Linked DNA regions of Arabidopsis thaliana. The protein of the gene in region 1 purifies or fractionates together with the protein of each later gene. This does not show direct contact. Each region holds a gene or a part of one and is shown in the gene's direction. Other genes may lie near its edges.

Region 1 (4,447 bases):
AGATTTAATTGATTTTGTCAAATATGTAGTATAGTTTTGATAACTGAGTTTTTATTTGTTTATTATTATTGTTATAAGATATCTATGAATAATACTTTTTATTTTCAAATCTTTCGTAAATTTATCCAAACATGAGTCATTATTATCCATTTTTATTTACAACAATTATGAAAAAAAAAACGGGTCACACGAAGGAGCTTGGTTTCTCGACGTTGTATATCGGTTTCTTCTTCCTTCTTTTCACAACTCTACGGTGGTGGGATGGCGATGACCCTGCGCCGCCTTCTCTGTTCGACTCCCGTCTTCCTGACTCACCGGTGGTCTTATTCAAGCGAGTTTCCACGACACAGTGGAAGGCAGCTTTGATTAGATTTTGTGATAGAATCTTAGGAGTTATGTGTCTCCGGGTTTAGATCGGTTATCTGCTAGTTTAGATTGGGTTTGATCTTAGGTTGATTTTGGTTTGGTTCCAGGTTTGGTTGGTGTAATTGGACTAGAGACCCAAAGATAATTATTGGATGGGCCTATTCTGAAAATAACCTAATAAACATATCTACTTATACATTTTTGGTGAAACTTTTGTAAAAAATCATTTATGTAAATACTATTTAGTTTTTAATCTCTACCAAAAATATCTAAACAAAATATTTTAAAGTACAAAACTTACAAATCATCAATCAACATTAAACACTTACATAAATACTTTCCTTTCTTAACATCCAATTTATGAATAATTATAATTGAGTCCAGCGAATTTTTGTCCAAAAGTAAATAATATTTAGTTTTGAGTCCCTACAAAATTTATTCTAAGAAGATATTATCTTAAATATATATCCATAATTAAATTTTATCTTTATTGCACTACATTTAATTAATTGCTAATTACCTAAACTCTCTTTACCTACATTAAATATAAATATATAAAAAAATTTCACTTTTATTTGTTCTTATTTCTAATTTACTTTGATTTTATATAAAAATACATATCGTTAATAAATGTTAGATTTTTTTCTGCATACAATGTAATTCAAATTTTAAAAAACTGACATACCGATGAAGAAAACAAAATATATCTACAGGTTGTACATTGCTTACAAAAATGGGCAATGGTTCAAAGTCATACTATAAAAAGGATCAAGATGATTCTTAATACGAATGAGCAAAAAGCTTGATTTATCAGGCATCCAAAATTTAGAATGTTAACCGGTTTACTCCGGTATTTTTTTTAAGGACTCAAAACTTTAAAAAGTTTCAAAATATTATAAATACTAAACTTTACAACGTTTTAAATATTTATAATTTTAAAACTTTTATGAAGATTTAAATATTATAAATATTTGAACGTTATAAAAAGTTTGAATATTATAAAATTAAACATTATAAATACTTAAAAAAGATGTTAATATGGGACGATATACCACATATAAAGTTCTAGATATAACAATTAAATGAAGTTTGGATCGAAATAAGTTTTTTTGAAGTTCTATTATTATAAATATTTGAAGTTTATAAAACTATGACAAAATCTTAGATATAATAATCAAAATACAATTATAAAGTTTAGATCAATATTAATTTTGTTTTTGAAGTTTCAAATATTTATAGTATTTGAATTTTATAAGAAAATAATAAAATGATGTTTAACTTCATGGGACATGGTTATATGGGATATGTCTTGATCGATATTATTACGGGATGATATATTATGGGTGAAACCCTAGAATTAACAATCAAAACATAATTATACAATTGTAAACACTAAACAAAATAAATAATATTAACACAACAGATACAATTTAAAATTAAATATAAATTTTAGTTATAAAAATCGTCACAAGGTGTATCATACATTAAAAAAACAATGGCCTATATATATATATATAAATCATTTTAAAGACAAAAAAATCAATTTTTATTTAATAAAATTATAGACCCGTAATATATCTCTTGAATATGTTATTCATATATAAATAATATTAATTAAAATAAAAAATAACTTTTTAAAGAAAATATAGACCCGCGGTGTACCGCAGGTCAACATCTAGTGTTTTAATAAAATTGCATACCTTTCACGAAAAAATGGTTCGCACTAAATAGGTGTAACTAGACGGTTATAATTTATAAAGGATGCAAGACCTTCTATCACATGATATGATGCTTTATAATTCTTCGAATAAAGCATAGTAATTCAAAATTTATTCTCATAAACTCATTAATATTTTTTGATCTAATATAACGAATGAAAATACTATAATACAATGATAAATACAAATTTTGTTAATAAATGTTAAATTTTAATTGATCAATAACACATATAAAAACAAATTTGTTAATTTATCTTTTGGTTAAGAAAAATATTTTTTTTTAGATATAATTATATAAATTAGTATATGTAAATTTGTTTTATTTTTTAATTTTGCTATTTCTGTAAAGGAAAAAAAATCAATTATTTAATTCATATCTATATTTGGTCGATAGATTTGACACGTGCCACAATCATGTGAGTTATTAACTTTAAAAACCATAGTTTACATAATAAAATATAATATATTTTGGTTAAACTTCCACTGTTTTTATTTATATGTAGTTTAAGTAAATTTTGTTTTATTACAAAAAAGTGATATTGTAAACTGTTAATGCAAAACAATAAATATATTTAATATGGCAGGTAAAATTTGTTAACAAGGTTACACATGCCGCCGCAATAGTAAGACGTAAAATGAAAGAGAAAAATTTATAAAAAACTATCATTCGTATCATTTGTTTTCCTTTAGTGTTTCTTTATTAAAGTGGTGGCATTTTCTTTCAAGTTGAAACAGAGTTAGTTATATAAAGTAGCCATACACATTCACCACGGACGGCTAATAATGCTTGTTTTCGAAAGAGGGAAATGAATCACTTTTGCGGGAGACAAAATGGATCTTTATAAAACATTGGAGCTAAAGGAATTAAGCTGCACATCCCTGTTAAAAGTGGGACAGTTTAGGGGAAGCTGTAAAAGCTGTAACTGATCTTCTTGGCATGCAGTCTTGTAAGGTTAGGCGCGCTTCTTCATACGTTAATACATTTTTCATTAGCATAAAAAAAAATCATAACTGAGATATGATCTGGCATTGTTGTTCTTCTTAATTCTTATGATAATTGTTTCGGGGGTTTCGGGTTCAGGGTACGGAGACGGTTGCAAGCAACGCAAGATCACACACATGTTTACCATCAGGTTTGTATATAGGGAACGTGAAAGTGTTGGTGAAGGCACAGTTTGGAATGGACAGCTCAAAGGAAATTGTAATGAAACTGGCTGTTCGAGCAGAGGATCCATCTGTCAGCGATGCGATTCACGCACTTGTTGCTAACGGCTAAACATATCAAAGGTTCGCAGGGATCTTTCCCTTTCGCTTTTGGTCTTGAAAAGTGCTTATTGTCATTTCTCTAAACATTTTTTTGAGTTTGCTACTTTTTACCATTAGTATAAATATTCTTTTGATGAGCTTATTTGAGGATATGTCGTAGTGGATCGTTTCTTCTTTCGTTGATTCACACAAGTTTGTTTAATTATAGTACGGTGGCAGAAGAATACTAATAACTAGTAACCTGTTCAATCGATTCAGTTGCTAAAGTCGATTCACATTCAGACAAAAAAAACTTAGAGAAGCAACAAAGCCCACAAGGACTGTTACATCTTTCAAAGACAGCTCAAGAGACCCATTGTTACAGAGAACCAAAAGTTTCAACCTTTCAAAAAATGATAGAACTGAAGGAATGTTTCCTTCAATTACAGTGAAAAATCAGTGAACATTTTTACAAATACAAATCCCATTAAGTATTTGAGTCCAAAGTGTCATCATGAAATAAATTAGTCCCATCACACACAAATGACAAACAGTACAAGATGTTGAAAAAGAACAAAGGACCATTCTCATCCAGAAGAAACAATGTTGAAAATGTTAAGCATAAATAATCAAGATTAAGACAGAGAACTAAAAGAAACTGCAAAACCTTGTTCTTGAGACCAAACAAAATGAAAGATACATGTATAAAGCTCGTTCAAGAGATAAAAAAAGAAACGCATAGGTAAGAGAACAAAATGACATGCCCTTTGCTTTCACCTGACTCCAATGATCGTCTCTATCCTTCTTCTCTCCTTGTCCCTTCTCAGTCTGATTCTGAATCTGAATCTGATTGATGATATTCTGGCTCCACCAATGGAGGATGGACTGACTTGAGCTGTTCTAAATCGTTAACATTATGATTCTCCCCGTGGTTTACAAAGGTGCAAACGCTACAAGGTTTCGTAACTGCTTCACCAAAACCTTGTATTTCAACACGTTAGAGAGTGTTCCTTCCGAAGTTGAAGCAATACAATTTACACGCAGAATATCATCAATCAGATTCAGATTCAGAATCAGACTGAGAATAAGAGGCGCGGATTAGCCGTGGACCTGGTCCG
Region 2 (5,748 bases), on another chromosome or scaffold:
AACCAAATGTTTGTACCAGAACAACAGGGCATCTGCCAAGCCAAATTGATCTTGAACCAATGTACAGTGTGTTCTTCTTCTTCTAAGAGAGATGGTGAGCTTTCTACTTCACAGTCGTGCGTAAGAAGAAATCCATAAGGAGAATAAGATTACTTTCACTGTGGATTCGCCCATACTTAATTGAGAAGAACAGACTGCTAGGTTTTTTTTTTTTTTTGAAAAATACAAAGTCAAACTTGTAAAGTATACAATACGAATTAAACCACTAAACCAACATCTATATAACCGTATTTAACCAGCAATCCACGTATCAGAACAGAAATGTTGGTTTTTTCTTGTCTTGTTGATCTCTTAGCTTAATCCACCAAAAGACACAACAACACAATAAGTGGAAGACATGCAAAATTAGTTACAGAGCATAGTGCCTTGTAACTTGTAACTCGAAAATAAGACAAAAGTATCTGAAAAAAGATGGCTAGCAACATACATAGATGGACATTTTTGTCTCCACCAAAATCACAACTGTAATCATCTTCTCAAAATCAAAGGTAGAGTAGTTAAATCGTTTCAGACCTTACTCAAGTTAAGAAATACCTTGTCGAATATCTCAGAGGTTCGTTTTATTGTCATCTAATTTCCGATTATATCCCAAGTGTTGCAAGGCTTTTATTGAACAGCTCAAGTGGTTTGCATTGGTGGAAACATCTGTGGGACAAGTAAGAAAATTTGAACCTCAATTGTTCAATTTCATTCTTAAATGGAGCCTCAAATGGGGAACTTTTAGTATATATGTGTCTTAGAAGAAGCAGAGTTTACGCATGTATTCATTTTGTTATCATACTGTTTTTATGTTAAATTAGTAACAAAAGTTTTCATACTCTCTGCTTATGCCAACATTGGTGGTTACTTATGATTCCTATATAGGTCAGCAGAAGTATGTGTCTCATGTTCCTTGGTCTTCCAATGTGTGAAAGCGGTATGCAAAACCAAAAGACTTGGCGGTGGCTTTGAAACAAGATCAGCTTTCATTGCTGCCGCAGCTTCTGGTCCTTGTTACCTATTAAATCAACGATCGTGAAACTCACACTGGACAGAGATGTGGATAAGATGATAACTTGTCATCCCCATAGTTTCGTTGGTATCTCTATATTTCTCTGTTGATAAATTAGGATTGTTATTTTCAGTTGCATGTTAAAACAATCGAAGAAGCTTTTTACATGGTTTTGATGAAATGACAATAGATTTCGGTTCGGCGTACATAGGTTTTGAAATTACAAGTGATTTCTGTTTGGTTTAGATGGTTGTGAAATGAAAATTAATTTTGGTTCGGTTTGTATTAGAATAGTACGGTTTTGAGAAAAAAAAAACAAAAGAAAAAGTCACTCGAGGCTGTTTTGGAAACAAAGCGAGTAGATGTAAAATAGGCATGATTTTGTGGGTTTACCCCTACAGAAATCGACGACACGCGCTCAACGCGAGGTTGATGCGAGTGGGCGTGGTCCGGAGCGCGTGACGCGAAGTTGGTGCGAGTGGGCGTAGTCCGGTGCGCTCTGATTGGTTAGAAAAATGAAAATAGTTGTGTAGTAGCTCCTCCACTTCTCCTCTATTATTTCGTTTTTCGTCATTCTTTAGTTCTGAAAGTTGTGTAGTTTTAAGATTCAATTGAATCTTATTACGAGGTTTTTGGTTATTTTGAAATCATTGATTACTGTCACAAAAAAAAAATAGAAACTAGATTTTGAGATACTAAAATTTTTATTTTCATTTTGTTCTGCAACCATTAAAACTAGATTTAGCTGAGCCCCTAAAGAAATCAAAGTGAGTTGATATGTTTTCTTCACTAGAAAAGTTTTTGCCACTTTTATGACATAGTTATCGAGTATACTATAACATTATACAATATTTTTAAAAAATAGCATAACAATTGGTTTATACCATAAAAATTAGAGATGAGCTCTAACAAAAGTTAAGCTTATTAGAAAAAACACTAAAAGCGTAGAAGATTACTTTCATGGTGGATTCGCCCAAACTTGAGTTGAGAAGAACAGACTGCTAGGGCTTTTTCTTATAGTTTTCGTTTTTTTTTTTTTTTTTTTTCCATCTCTTTTAGTTTTCGTTTGGGACATTTAATGTCTATAATTAATAACAAACGATTGGGCCTTAAATTTAGCTCAGGCCTGGAATAAGCCCATATAGTCCTCGTTTTTATGTCACTCTCAAAACCTCGAAAGTGGTTTCTATCTATCACTTGGGCTTTTATTACTTGTTAAAACAAATTTGATCCAAATCTCAAATGGAACCGACAAAATAGAAAATCCGGTTCTCTCAAAAGGCCAAACACGTGACGTTTAGGAACAAAAAAGACGTTATCACTGCAAGAAGTTTTGACTTTGAGAAAGTCTTTGAATAATCAAAACAGAGTTTTTCAAATTTCCCAAGTCTGAAATGGTACTCGCACCCTGCAGACATTTTCGATCAAAATTTTCAGAGAGTGAGAGAGAGAGAAGGGAGATCAGATAATGGCTTCTCGTAAGAAACGTGCTGCGAAGATTTCAGAGGATTCAGAGGAGGAACAGAGTCGCCGTCAACGGTTACAAGCCATTCTTCTCGCTGACAGTTTCGCCACGAAACTCCTTCCCTTAACCTTAGAACGCCCCAATGTCTTGTTACCGCTAGTGAATATTCCCATGATTGATTACACCTTAGCTTGGCTCGAATCTGCTGGCATAGAAGAAGTTTTCGTCTTTTGCTCGATGCAAGTCATCGATTATCTGAACAACTCTGACTGGTACTCGCACAAAGACTTTACGGTAAAAACTATAGAGTCACCGCAAAACTCCACCAGTGCTGGTGATGCTTTGCGTTATATCTACGAGCAGCAGATTGAGACGTCTCAGATTCAAGGTGACTTTGTTCTTGTTAATGGATGTATTGTTAGTAACATGCCCCTGACGCAGCTGATTCAAGAACACAGAGATAGAAAAAAGAAAGATGAGAAAGCTATCATGACTATGGTTATCAGACAGTCACTCATCACCGATCATCAACTCTTCATCGCTGTAAATCCTTTAACAAAACAGCTTCTTTATTACGATGAGGACAACATCTGCTTCGATAAATCATTGCTGGATCGTAATCCATCTGTTTTGTTATGTAGTGATATGCAGGATTGTTACATTGACATATGTTCTCTTGAGGTGCTTAGTCTATTTGTGGATAACTTCGATTACCAACATATGCGTTGTGATTTTGTGGAAGGTGTTCTTGCTGATGACATTATCGGTTACAAGATTTTCACTCATGAGATTAGCTCGTGTTATGCTTCTAGGATTGAAAATTTCAGGAGCTATGACATGGTGAGCAAGGATATAATCCAGAGGCGGACATTCCCGTATGTACCGGATATGAAGTTCAGCGGAAATCGCACTCTTAAGCTCGAGAGACAAGGGATCTACAAGGCTTCTGATGCTACTCAGTTACCATCTGCTCATGTTGGAGCTTCCTATGTCATTGGACATGCCACAAATATTGGGAGTGGGACTAAGATCTTGAACTCTGTTATTGGGAATGGATGTTCTATTGGATCAAATGTGGTGATCCAAGGCTCATACATATGGAACAATGTTACGGTTGAAGATGGATGTGAGATAAGGAATGCTATTGTATGTGATGAGGTGAAAGTGTGTGCAGGAGCTATTGTGAAACCTGGTGTTGTGTTGTCTTTTAAGGTTGTAGTCGGGAGGGACTTTGTTGTACCTGCATATTCACAGGTTTCACTACTCCGACAACCAATGGAAGAAGACAGTGATGAAGAAAATCTTTTGTCAGGTGTAGATTTGCAAATGGAGTCTAAGCTTGGTCTTGATGGAGCAGGTTACATATGGCGCCAAGCGTGTGAAGACGAGTGGAAGCATTCTGTTCCACCAATCCCCAAAGATAAACTTGCTGAGATCATTAAGGCCATTGACGATGATGACACGGATGATGAAAGTGTTGTCACAACTTCCGGCGATGCTAATACTAGTATTAACAATGATCTCTTTGACTTTGAGAGAGAGGTTGATGGCACCTTCTTAAGGGCTGTCGAAGAGAATATTGTAGCCGACCTTGCGGTTTTGGAGATAAACTCACTCCGGTTGTCATATAACATGGAATCTGCACATTGTGCTGGTGCAATATTCTACTCTATGATGAAACTAGCAGTTAGTACTCCACATAGCTCTATTAATGACTTGTATAGAAACGCATCGAGTATCATTACTCGATGGAAGGGACTTCTTGGGTTCTATGTAAAGAAAAGTGATGAACAGATAGAAGTAATATCGAGATTGGAAGAGATGTGTGAAGAATCTGCTCATGAGTTGGGAACTTTGTTTGCTCATATTTTACGTTATATGTATGAGGAAGAGAATGACCTTTTGCAAGAAGTTGCAATCTTGAGATGGTCGGATGAGAAAGCCGGAGCTGATGAATCTGACAAAGTTTATCTGAAACAATGCGAGCCATTCATAACGTGGCTCAAGGAAACATCTGACGATGAAGATGGCTAATGAATTGGTGGTAAACATGTGTTCGTTGGCTCCCAAAAGGAACATTCTGATTGATTATTTGCATCGAAGAGATTACTTTGTCTTTTTTTCCATGTGTTATTCTAATGATGTGCTATTTTATATCTCATCCATTACATGTATGAGGTATATAAATACAACTTTTATGTTTTTGTAAATGTATTATAGGAAGCTTATTACAGTATTTCCCAAAAAAAAACAATTATAGTTATCTAACGAATTAGAGAAATTTAACTAAGTGAAAAATAATAAAGGAATGATCTAAATATTAATTTTTGGGCTGATTTTGAAAGAAAAGAATAAGGAAATGAAAACGAAGAAGAAGGAACATCGTCTTCTCCACAGAGTCCTCTTTCACCGCCTTTGATTCTTTACTTATAAACCCTTACCTTCCTCTTCCTTTTGTATATACCTATTTCTCTAGAAACCTTTTTCCTCATCGAACTCTTCTTCTTTCGCCTCGCCAGAAATGGCAGATGACTTGGCGAATCTCTGCCGATTTCTCTTCGACGACACCGCCTTTCCCTCTTTGTCGTCTTCGGCATCTTCAGATCTCTTTTCTCGCCGTTTACGCTCCGATGATTCGATCAAGCGCGGTCTCCGTTCTTTCTATCTCCTCCTTCGCTGGGGTGTCGCTCCGATCGGCGGAGACGATGCTGATTCCTCTGGCAAGCTACGCTTTGAGACATGGTCCGATTCGCAGCTTCAAGCTCTTGTTTCGATATCTCAGGCGATCCTTCTACTATCTCGATCTCTATTAGGTACTGACTTGACACTGAATCAAGGTTTAGGTCGGTATCAATTTAGCTGTCCATTTCTAGTTCGTCTTCCACTTTCTGAGCTTTGGCATCTGCTTTTTTTGTTGCTATCCTAGATGAGTTACTAGTTATTTTCCATCTGAACAGTGATGATCTCGAATCATTTTCCTTACTGTTTTTTTTTTTTTGGTGTATCTTAGTGGACCAACTCGAACCAATCGTTTTGGGTGTCATCCAGGAGGTGATGGAATTCTCTCTCAGCTTCTTGGAGAAGTCAAGTTTTAGACAAAATGATCTCAAAATGGAGGTTTGTTCTTTATTATTAATTTGTGATAGAGATTCAGTAGGGAAGTCTTTAATGTTGGTCTTATTTTGGTACACTGGGTAAGTCTAGGTAATCTGCTTGAGGTCCTTTTTGAGCA
Region 3 (6,694 bases), on another chromosome or scaffold:
TTTTACTAATCCTGTAAAATTAGACTTTAGCCGAGTCCGTTTGAATCTAGGATTTTTGAAATTTCCAGGTGGCTCAAAGCTAAAGAAAATGTGAATGAGAAATGATTTCAACGAAAATAAGATTTACATAATAGCCAATGACATATATGCACTTGTCAAGTTGGAGTTAAACAATAACCACACACCGAATTGAGGAGCCCATTGGAAAAAACAGAAGCAAATATATTTTTATGTAAAAATAGAAACGGAATAATATAGTAACAAAAAGATACTCTCTTCAACCTTATCCATTCTTCGCCACTTCTCCCACTAATCCGCTAAATCATTCTTCTTCATCTCTCTCTCATTCACAATTCCCGAAATTCTCTCAAATCACAGATCCTTTTAGGGTTTTTCCACTGTTTCTAGGTTTTTTTTATTGCTCAAATCTGATCAATGGATAGTTGTCTCTCTAATCAAACGGCGCTTCAGTTTCTCCCGTCGCGTTCCAGGAGACAGAGCGGCGATGGAGGCGGTGGTTTTGTTATTCCGGCGAAGAGGAAGATCCAGTATAGTTCGATGGTTGTGGTTGCGGCGGCGGGACAGAGTCGGTGTGAGCCTGGAAGCAGTCTAAACGCGCCGCTTGAGCCACGATCGGCGCAGGGGAGGTTTCTGAGAAGCGTGTTGCTAAACAAACGGCAGCTATTTCATTACGCCGCCGCTGATGAGCTAAAGCAACTGGCTGATGATAGGGAAGCTGCTTTAGCTCGTATGTCTCTCAGCTCTGGTTCCGATGAGGCTTCTCTCCACAGGTCCGTGAAACCTTTCCTTATCTAATCTCTCACAATTCAAAGATCCGTAAACAGCTGTAGAATTATAAACATACAAAGAAATATGTGTAAATCATTACTTACATACTCTTATTTAATCGACCACAAATCAGTATTTTATTAGTATTTATCACATAAGCTTGTAAAGTTTGATTATAAGTTGTTTGATGGTGTTTATCAGTTTATGATGATTTGAGAATCACACTAATGATATGGTTGAATTGAAACAAGAGAATTCTGTAGTTATGATCTTCAGGTGCTTTCTCATACTCTGCCTTGTGAAGCAAGTTTTGTTTTAGTGTTTGATAAGGGCTGGTTTTGCTTTTTTACATTTCATTGTTGCTTAGTTCGTTAAATAGTTTCCGTATATTTTAGTTTCTTGCCTGTGTTAAACTCTCTGACTTGCTCAGGCCATTTTATGCTCTGTTTGTGAACATTTTCTCAACTATCTTCTGCTCTTTTACGAACACTAACACTCTGATTCCATGGTTGGCAGAAGGATAGCTGAACTCAAGGAACGCTACTGTAAAACTGCAGTCCAAGACATAATGTACATGTTAATCTTTTACAAATACTCCGAGATAAGAGTCCCTCTTGTTCCAAAGCTATCCAGATGCATCTATAATGGAAGACTCGAGATCTGGCCTTCAAAAGACTGGGAGTTAGAGTCAATTTACAGCTGCGATACCCTTGAGATCATCAAAGAACACGTTAGCGCAGTCATCGGATTACGGGTCAACTCATGTGTGACTGACAATTGGGCAACAACGCAGATACAGAAACTGCATCTCAGGAAAGTATATGCTGCCTCGATCTTGTACGGTTACTTCTTGAAATCAGCTTCCCTAAGGCACCAGCTTGAGTGTTCCTTATCAGATATTCATGGAAGCGGATATCTGAAAAGTCCCATCTTTGGATGCTCATTCACAACGGGCACTGCACAGATCTCCAACAAGCAGCAGCTGAGACATTACATCTCAGACTTTGATCCCGAGACATTGCAGAGATGCGCAAAACCAAGGACAGAGGAGGCAAGGAATCTGATAGAGAAGCAAAGTTTGGCTCTTTTTGGCACGGAAGAGAGTGATGAGACCATAGTGACATCGTTTTCGAGTCTGAAGCGGTTGGTTCTCGAGGCTGTGGCGTTTGGGACATTCCTGTGGGACACGGAATTGTATGTAGATGGTGCATATAAGCTGAAGGAGAATGGGAATGCAGAAGAACAAGAAGGAAAGAAAAGCATATGATGAACAAGTCTGGTTAGAAGAAAAGCTTCATGATCTTCTGGTAGTGTATATATAGAGAAATGTTTCTGCCGAATCTCTCAGGCAGTTGTTCAGTTCAATGTATAGATCTTGCTTAGAAATATTTTGATTTCTGAATAAGAATGTGGTGTGGTTATAAGGAATAAGAGATACTGTAGTTGGGTTCAATTTTATGTTATGTGTTAAGTTTCCTTGTTCAATTTGATCTTTCTCCTTTTGTCAAAAGACTCAAAACCTCAAAAACAAAACTAAAATTTGGGTCCCAAAGAAGCTATGCAAAGGGAAGGAGATACTTTGATAATGCTTGTATTTTTGGGCTTATTTTAGGCCCAAATAGCACCTTATTTCGGCCCAAAAGTTAGACCTACCAAAAAACCTTCAATTGTCACTAGAGCGAATGAATGTAAAAATCTGGTCTCCTATTATCAATTCCGTTTCTCTCTCGCCGGAAGATTTTTGCTACTTCATCTCCTTATCGCCCCACCACCGTCACATATTCACTGGTAAGCATATCCATTTTGCTTCCTCATCTTCCACATTAGGCTTCTCCCATTTTCTTCTTCCTCCCGCCGCGAATCGCGCGTGATTAGGGTTTATGAAATCTAACGCCTCAGGTTTCGCATTTTCTCAAGTTTCTCGTTAATTTCGGTTAAAGAAGATGCCAGACGTTCAATCAACGGTGGTGGAATTTGTTAACAAGCTCAGAAAGCGGTAAATTCTTTCTTTCTGGCTTAATTTCGTAAAACCCTTTGTGAATATAGTTGCTGATTGGATCATTATCTCATACAGTAAGATTGAGGGCTCACAGGCTACAGCCAAATACACCGTAGAGCTACTTAGGTCAGTAATTTCGCATCAGCGGGTGCCTCACGCTAACCAAGCTGCCGCTCTTATCGATGCTGTGAAAGCTGTTGGTGAGCAATTGATCGCTGCTAATCCTGTTGGTATGTCTTCTTAAACTCTCTTTTTGCTTCTTCTCTCTTAGTCTGTGAAAGGAATTGATATATACGGATATGATTTTTGTAGAGCTTGCGGTGGGAAATGTAGTTAGACGGGTTTTGCATATTATAAGGGAGGAAGATCTTTCTCTAACTACAGCAGCTATGGGTGGTTTGGACTTGTTGGATGCAAGTGATGATGATGATGTAGACAATTGCAAAGGAATTGGGTTTCCTGCAATGTCTGCAGCAGTTGTTGCAGCTGCAGCTAGGAGTACATTACGCCCTCCATCTTTGCAAACGCTTCTCGAGGGCACTCCTGAATCTGCAACTGTTCCATACACATCTTCATCTGGTGCTGATTCCGAAAGCAAAAGTAAATGTACCTTTTTCATGCCTTTGGCTCTCCTTTGCACATACTGTTTTTTTTTCAGTAGGTCCTTATGCCGTCTGTTTTACTGATGTCTTTGATAAACCATTGAAGATAAGTGTTATCGCTGGAATTTAATAATGTTGGCTCATATTCTCTTTTACAAGCTGATATATAAGGTTTTCTTTTTAGCTATCGTAGACAGATTTAGGTCTCAGTGGTTTTGGTTTTGCTTTAGGGCATTTAGGCTTGGGAGAGTTTAAGCAAACCCTATTTTACTGGTTCCTGTAGTTTTGTTGCTGGAATTACCTGTGAGTTTGTGTTGTGTTGCTGAGTTATAGAGATAAATGAGAATCATATATGTTCTTATCAGTCTACTTTTTTAGGTGGTTCGTCTCACTTTATTGGGATTATATCATAAATGAACCATAGATCAAAATTTTATATGGCAGCAAGAATATTTTACTGTTTTTGGTTGATATTAATGGTCTAATATACCCTTTTGTTTAGCTGCCGATAAAAGTTCGTTAACTCGGAAGCTGAAGCATGATGTTATCGAAGGAGTGAATCAACTTATTCAAGAGATTGCTGGTTGTCATGAGCAGATCGCTGAACAAGCTATAGAGCATATACATCAAAAGTACTTTTCTTTTCTATAGCATTATTTATCTTTAACATGTTATACATGGAGAACTAAAATGGTCGTTTCTCAGTGTCTTTTCGTGATGATCACTTTTGTATTGCCTAAATTCTATTTTTTCAGTGAGGTGATCCTAACCCTGGGTAGCTCAAGAACAGTGCTTGAGTTTCTGTGTGCTGCAAAGGAGAAAAAAAGATCTTTTCGTGTATTTGTTGCCGAAGGTGCTCCAAGGTTTGGTTTCTCCCTTTACTATATGTTTCATCATTACCATTGTTAGTGTTTTCTCTCAACATTTTTATATTCTCTCTGATTTGTCCATCTAACTCAGCTGTATCAAATTTTCTTCCATTTCTATTCTATTATATTAGATATCAGGGCCATCTATTAGCAAAAGAATTGGTAGCTAGAGGTTTGCAGACAACTGTGATCACCGACTCTGCAGTGTTTGCTATGATATCTCGAGTGAATATGGTACAATTCATTCCTACCCAACTTTATGTTTTCTTGTCCTTGTCTTCTAAATAATTTGCAATGATGTGAAAATGCACAGGTTATAATTGGAGCTCATGCAGTGATGGCTAATGGTGGAGTTATAGGGCCAGTTGGTGTCAACATGGCTGCTCTTGCAGCACAAAAGCACGCAGTCCCATTCGTGGTTCTTGCTGGTAGTCACAAGGTTGGTTTCGAGTTGTATTTAATTTCTCAAACTGTTTTTTGCTCTCAAAACTTGACTTAGGGTTTCCAATGTAATAACAGTTGTGTCCCCTCTATCCTCACAATCCGGAAGTATTACTAAATGAGCTGAGATCTCCATCTGAACTGTTGGATTTTGGTGAATTCTCTGATTGCCTGGATTTTGGAGCAGGTTCCGGGTCTCTTCAAGTTGTCAACCCAACATTCGATTATGTCCCACCAAACCTTGTTAGTCTCTTTATAACAGACACGTAAGTCTCCTATATATAATCTTTGCTATATTCTTAGGTTGGTCCATTTTCATGGCATTACTTTTTTGGATAAAGGGTTGGTGATAGCGTTACCTTTTTGGTTACAGGGGAGGACACAATCCATCCTACATGTACCGTCTTATTGCGGACTACTACTCTGCTGATGATTTGGTGATGTAGCGATAAAGGACTAGTTTTCGGTCACTTGGTGGGAACTATACAACATTCAGTCGGATAGTCGGTCATTCACAATTGAAGAATATATGTACATTGCACAAAAACAGTTGCTCAAGGATTGTGAATGAAAAAGAGAAACATCTTAGTGTCTGAAATTGTCAGGCCAAGTTTATTTTTGCCGTGTCTTGGGTAATTCCTTTAGCTCAGTCTCAATGGTGTCTATTGTTACTTGATAGTATACTTCTCTTTCAACACAACGTTTTTCTTTGGTTGGCTTTTGTATTTGCTAATACGAGAATTACCACTGGAGGTGGACAGGACATCTTATTTTAACTAATTAAAGTTTTGGGTGCAATTTTACTTGATAAGTGTGAGGCGATGCATTGGTTCGGTACGGTTCAATTTCAATTACCTCATAACCGGATCACTATATCTTCGCCGTGAAAATATTCAGACAGACGACAACACCTGCATAAACACCATTGTTCAAAATAGCCAGAGAGATAAAAGTAAAACCCTAAACCCCACTAGTTAAAGTTAACATTTTTATTGTTTCTCTCCGGCTCCTTTCAATCTGTGTACTGTGTATGCTGCTGATACATATCAGAAGTACTCGAAAGATCTTAGCTTTGGGGCGTCATGTTTTTCCTTCTAATGCCTTCTTCTCCGTCTCTTCTCGACCTTCTCTGTCTTCCTCGGACGAAGTGGCGGCTCATGATGTCGCATCTTTGCTAAAAACCCCCAATTGGGAGAAGAACAGTTCTCTTAAATCTCTAGTCTCTCACATGAATCCAAATGTCGCTTCACAGGTCATTTCGCTTCAACGCAGTGACAACGATATTTGCGTTCGCTTTTTCATGTGGGTCTGCAAGCATTCGTCGTATTGTTTCGACCCAACTCAGAAAAATCAGCTTTTGAAACTGATTGTTTCTTCCGGATTGTATCGAGTTGCGCATGCTGTTATTGTTGCGTTGATCAAGGAATGTAGTAGATGCGAGAAAGAGATGTTGAAACTAATGTATTGTTTTGATGAGCTGAGAGAAGTTTTTGGGTTCCGGTTAAATTACCCTTGTTACAGCTCTCTTTTGATGTCCTTAGCTAAACTTGATTTAGGATTTTTGGCTTACGTGACTTATAGAAGAATGGAAGCTGACGGATTTGTTGTTGGTATGATTGATTACAGAACCATTGTCAATGCTCTGTGTAAGAATGGATACACGGAAGCCGCTGAGATGTTCATGTCTAAGATTCTTAAAATTGGGTTTGTGTTAGATTCCCATATAGGCACTTCTTTGTTACTGGGTTTTTGCCGTGGATTGAATCTCAGAGATGCACTCAAGGTGTTTGATGTAATGTCTAAGGAGGTAACTTGTGCACCGAACTCTGTTAGTTACTCCATTTTGATTCACGGGTTGTGTGAAGTAGGGAGACTTGAAGAAGCATTTGGCCTAAAAGATCAAATGGGTGAGAAAGGTTGCCAACCAAGCACACGTACATATACTGTGCTTATTAAAGCCTTGTGCGATAGAGGTTTGATTGATAAAGCTTTTA

The links. The genes of interacting proteins can lie anywhere in the genome.
Region 2: the proteins of AT2G16200 (region 1) and AT3G02270 fractionate together in Arabidopsis thaliana (co-fractionation; one large-scale study listed by BioGRID). This does not show direct contact.
Region 3: the proteins of AT2G16200 (region 1) and AT3G07300 fractionate together in Arabidopsis thaliana (co-fractionation; one large-scale study listed by BioGRID). This does not show direct contact.

Annotation. Positions count from the first base shown.
Region 1 is NC_003071.7:7,021,745-7,026,191, forward strand, and holds AT2G16200 (structural molecule), read left to right. Parts: upstream 1-2,862; 5' UTR 2,863-2,915; coding exon 2,916-2,972; intron 2,973-2,979; exon of another isoform or gene 2,980-3,021; coding exon of another isoform or gene 3,022-3,036; intron 3,037-3,165; coding exon 3,166-3,360; 3' UTR 3,361-3,487; downstream 3,488-4,447.
Region 2 is NC_003074.8:447,779-453,526, reverse strand, and holds AT3G02270 (Trimeric LpxA-like enzyme), read left to right. Parts: upstream 1-2,519; coding exon 2,520-4,550; downstream 4,551-5,748. Other genes in the region: BIG (auxin transport protein (BIG)), read left to right, coding at 5,038-5,359, 5,527-5,633.
Region 3 is NC_003074.8:2,323,419-2,330,112, reverse strand, and holds AT3G07300 (NagB/RpiA/CoA transferase-like superfamily protein), read left to right. Parts: upstream 1-2,453; 5' UTR 2,454-2,577; intron 2,578-2,688; exon of another isoform or gene 2,689-2,706; 5' UTR 2,707-2,732; coding exon 2,733-2,785; intron 2,786-2,863; coding exon 2,864-3,018; intron 3,019-3,100; coding exon 3,101-3,394; intron 3,395-3,892; coding exon 3,893-4,022; intron 4,023-4,145; coding exon 4,146-4,253; intron 4,254-4,390; coding exon 4,391-4,493; intron 4,494-4,572; coding exon 4,573-4,698; intron 4,699-4,778; coding exon 4,779-4,966; intron 4,967-5,073; coding exon 5,074-5,146; 3' UTR 5,147-5,496; downstream 5,497-6,694. Other genes in the region: AT3G07310 (phosphoserine aminotransferase, putative (DUF760)), read left to right, coding at 436-791, 1,306-2,056; AT3G07290 (Pentatricopeptide repeat (PPR) superfamily protein), read left to right, coding at 5,731-6,694.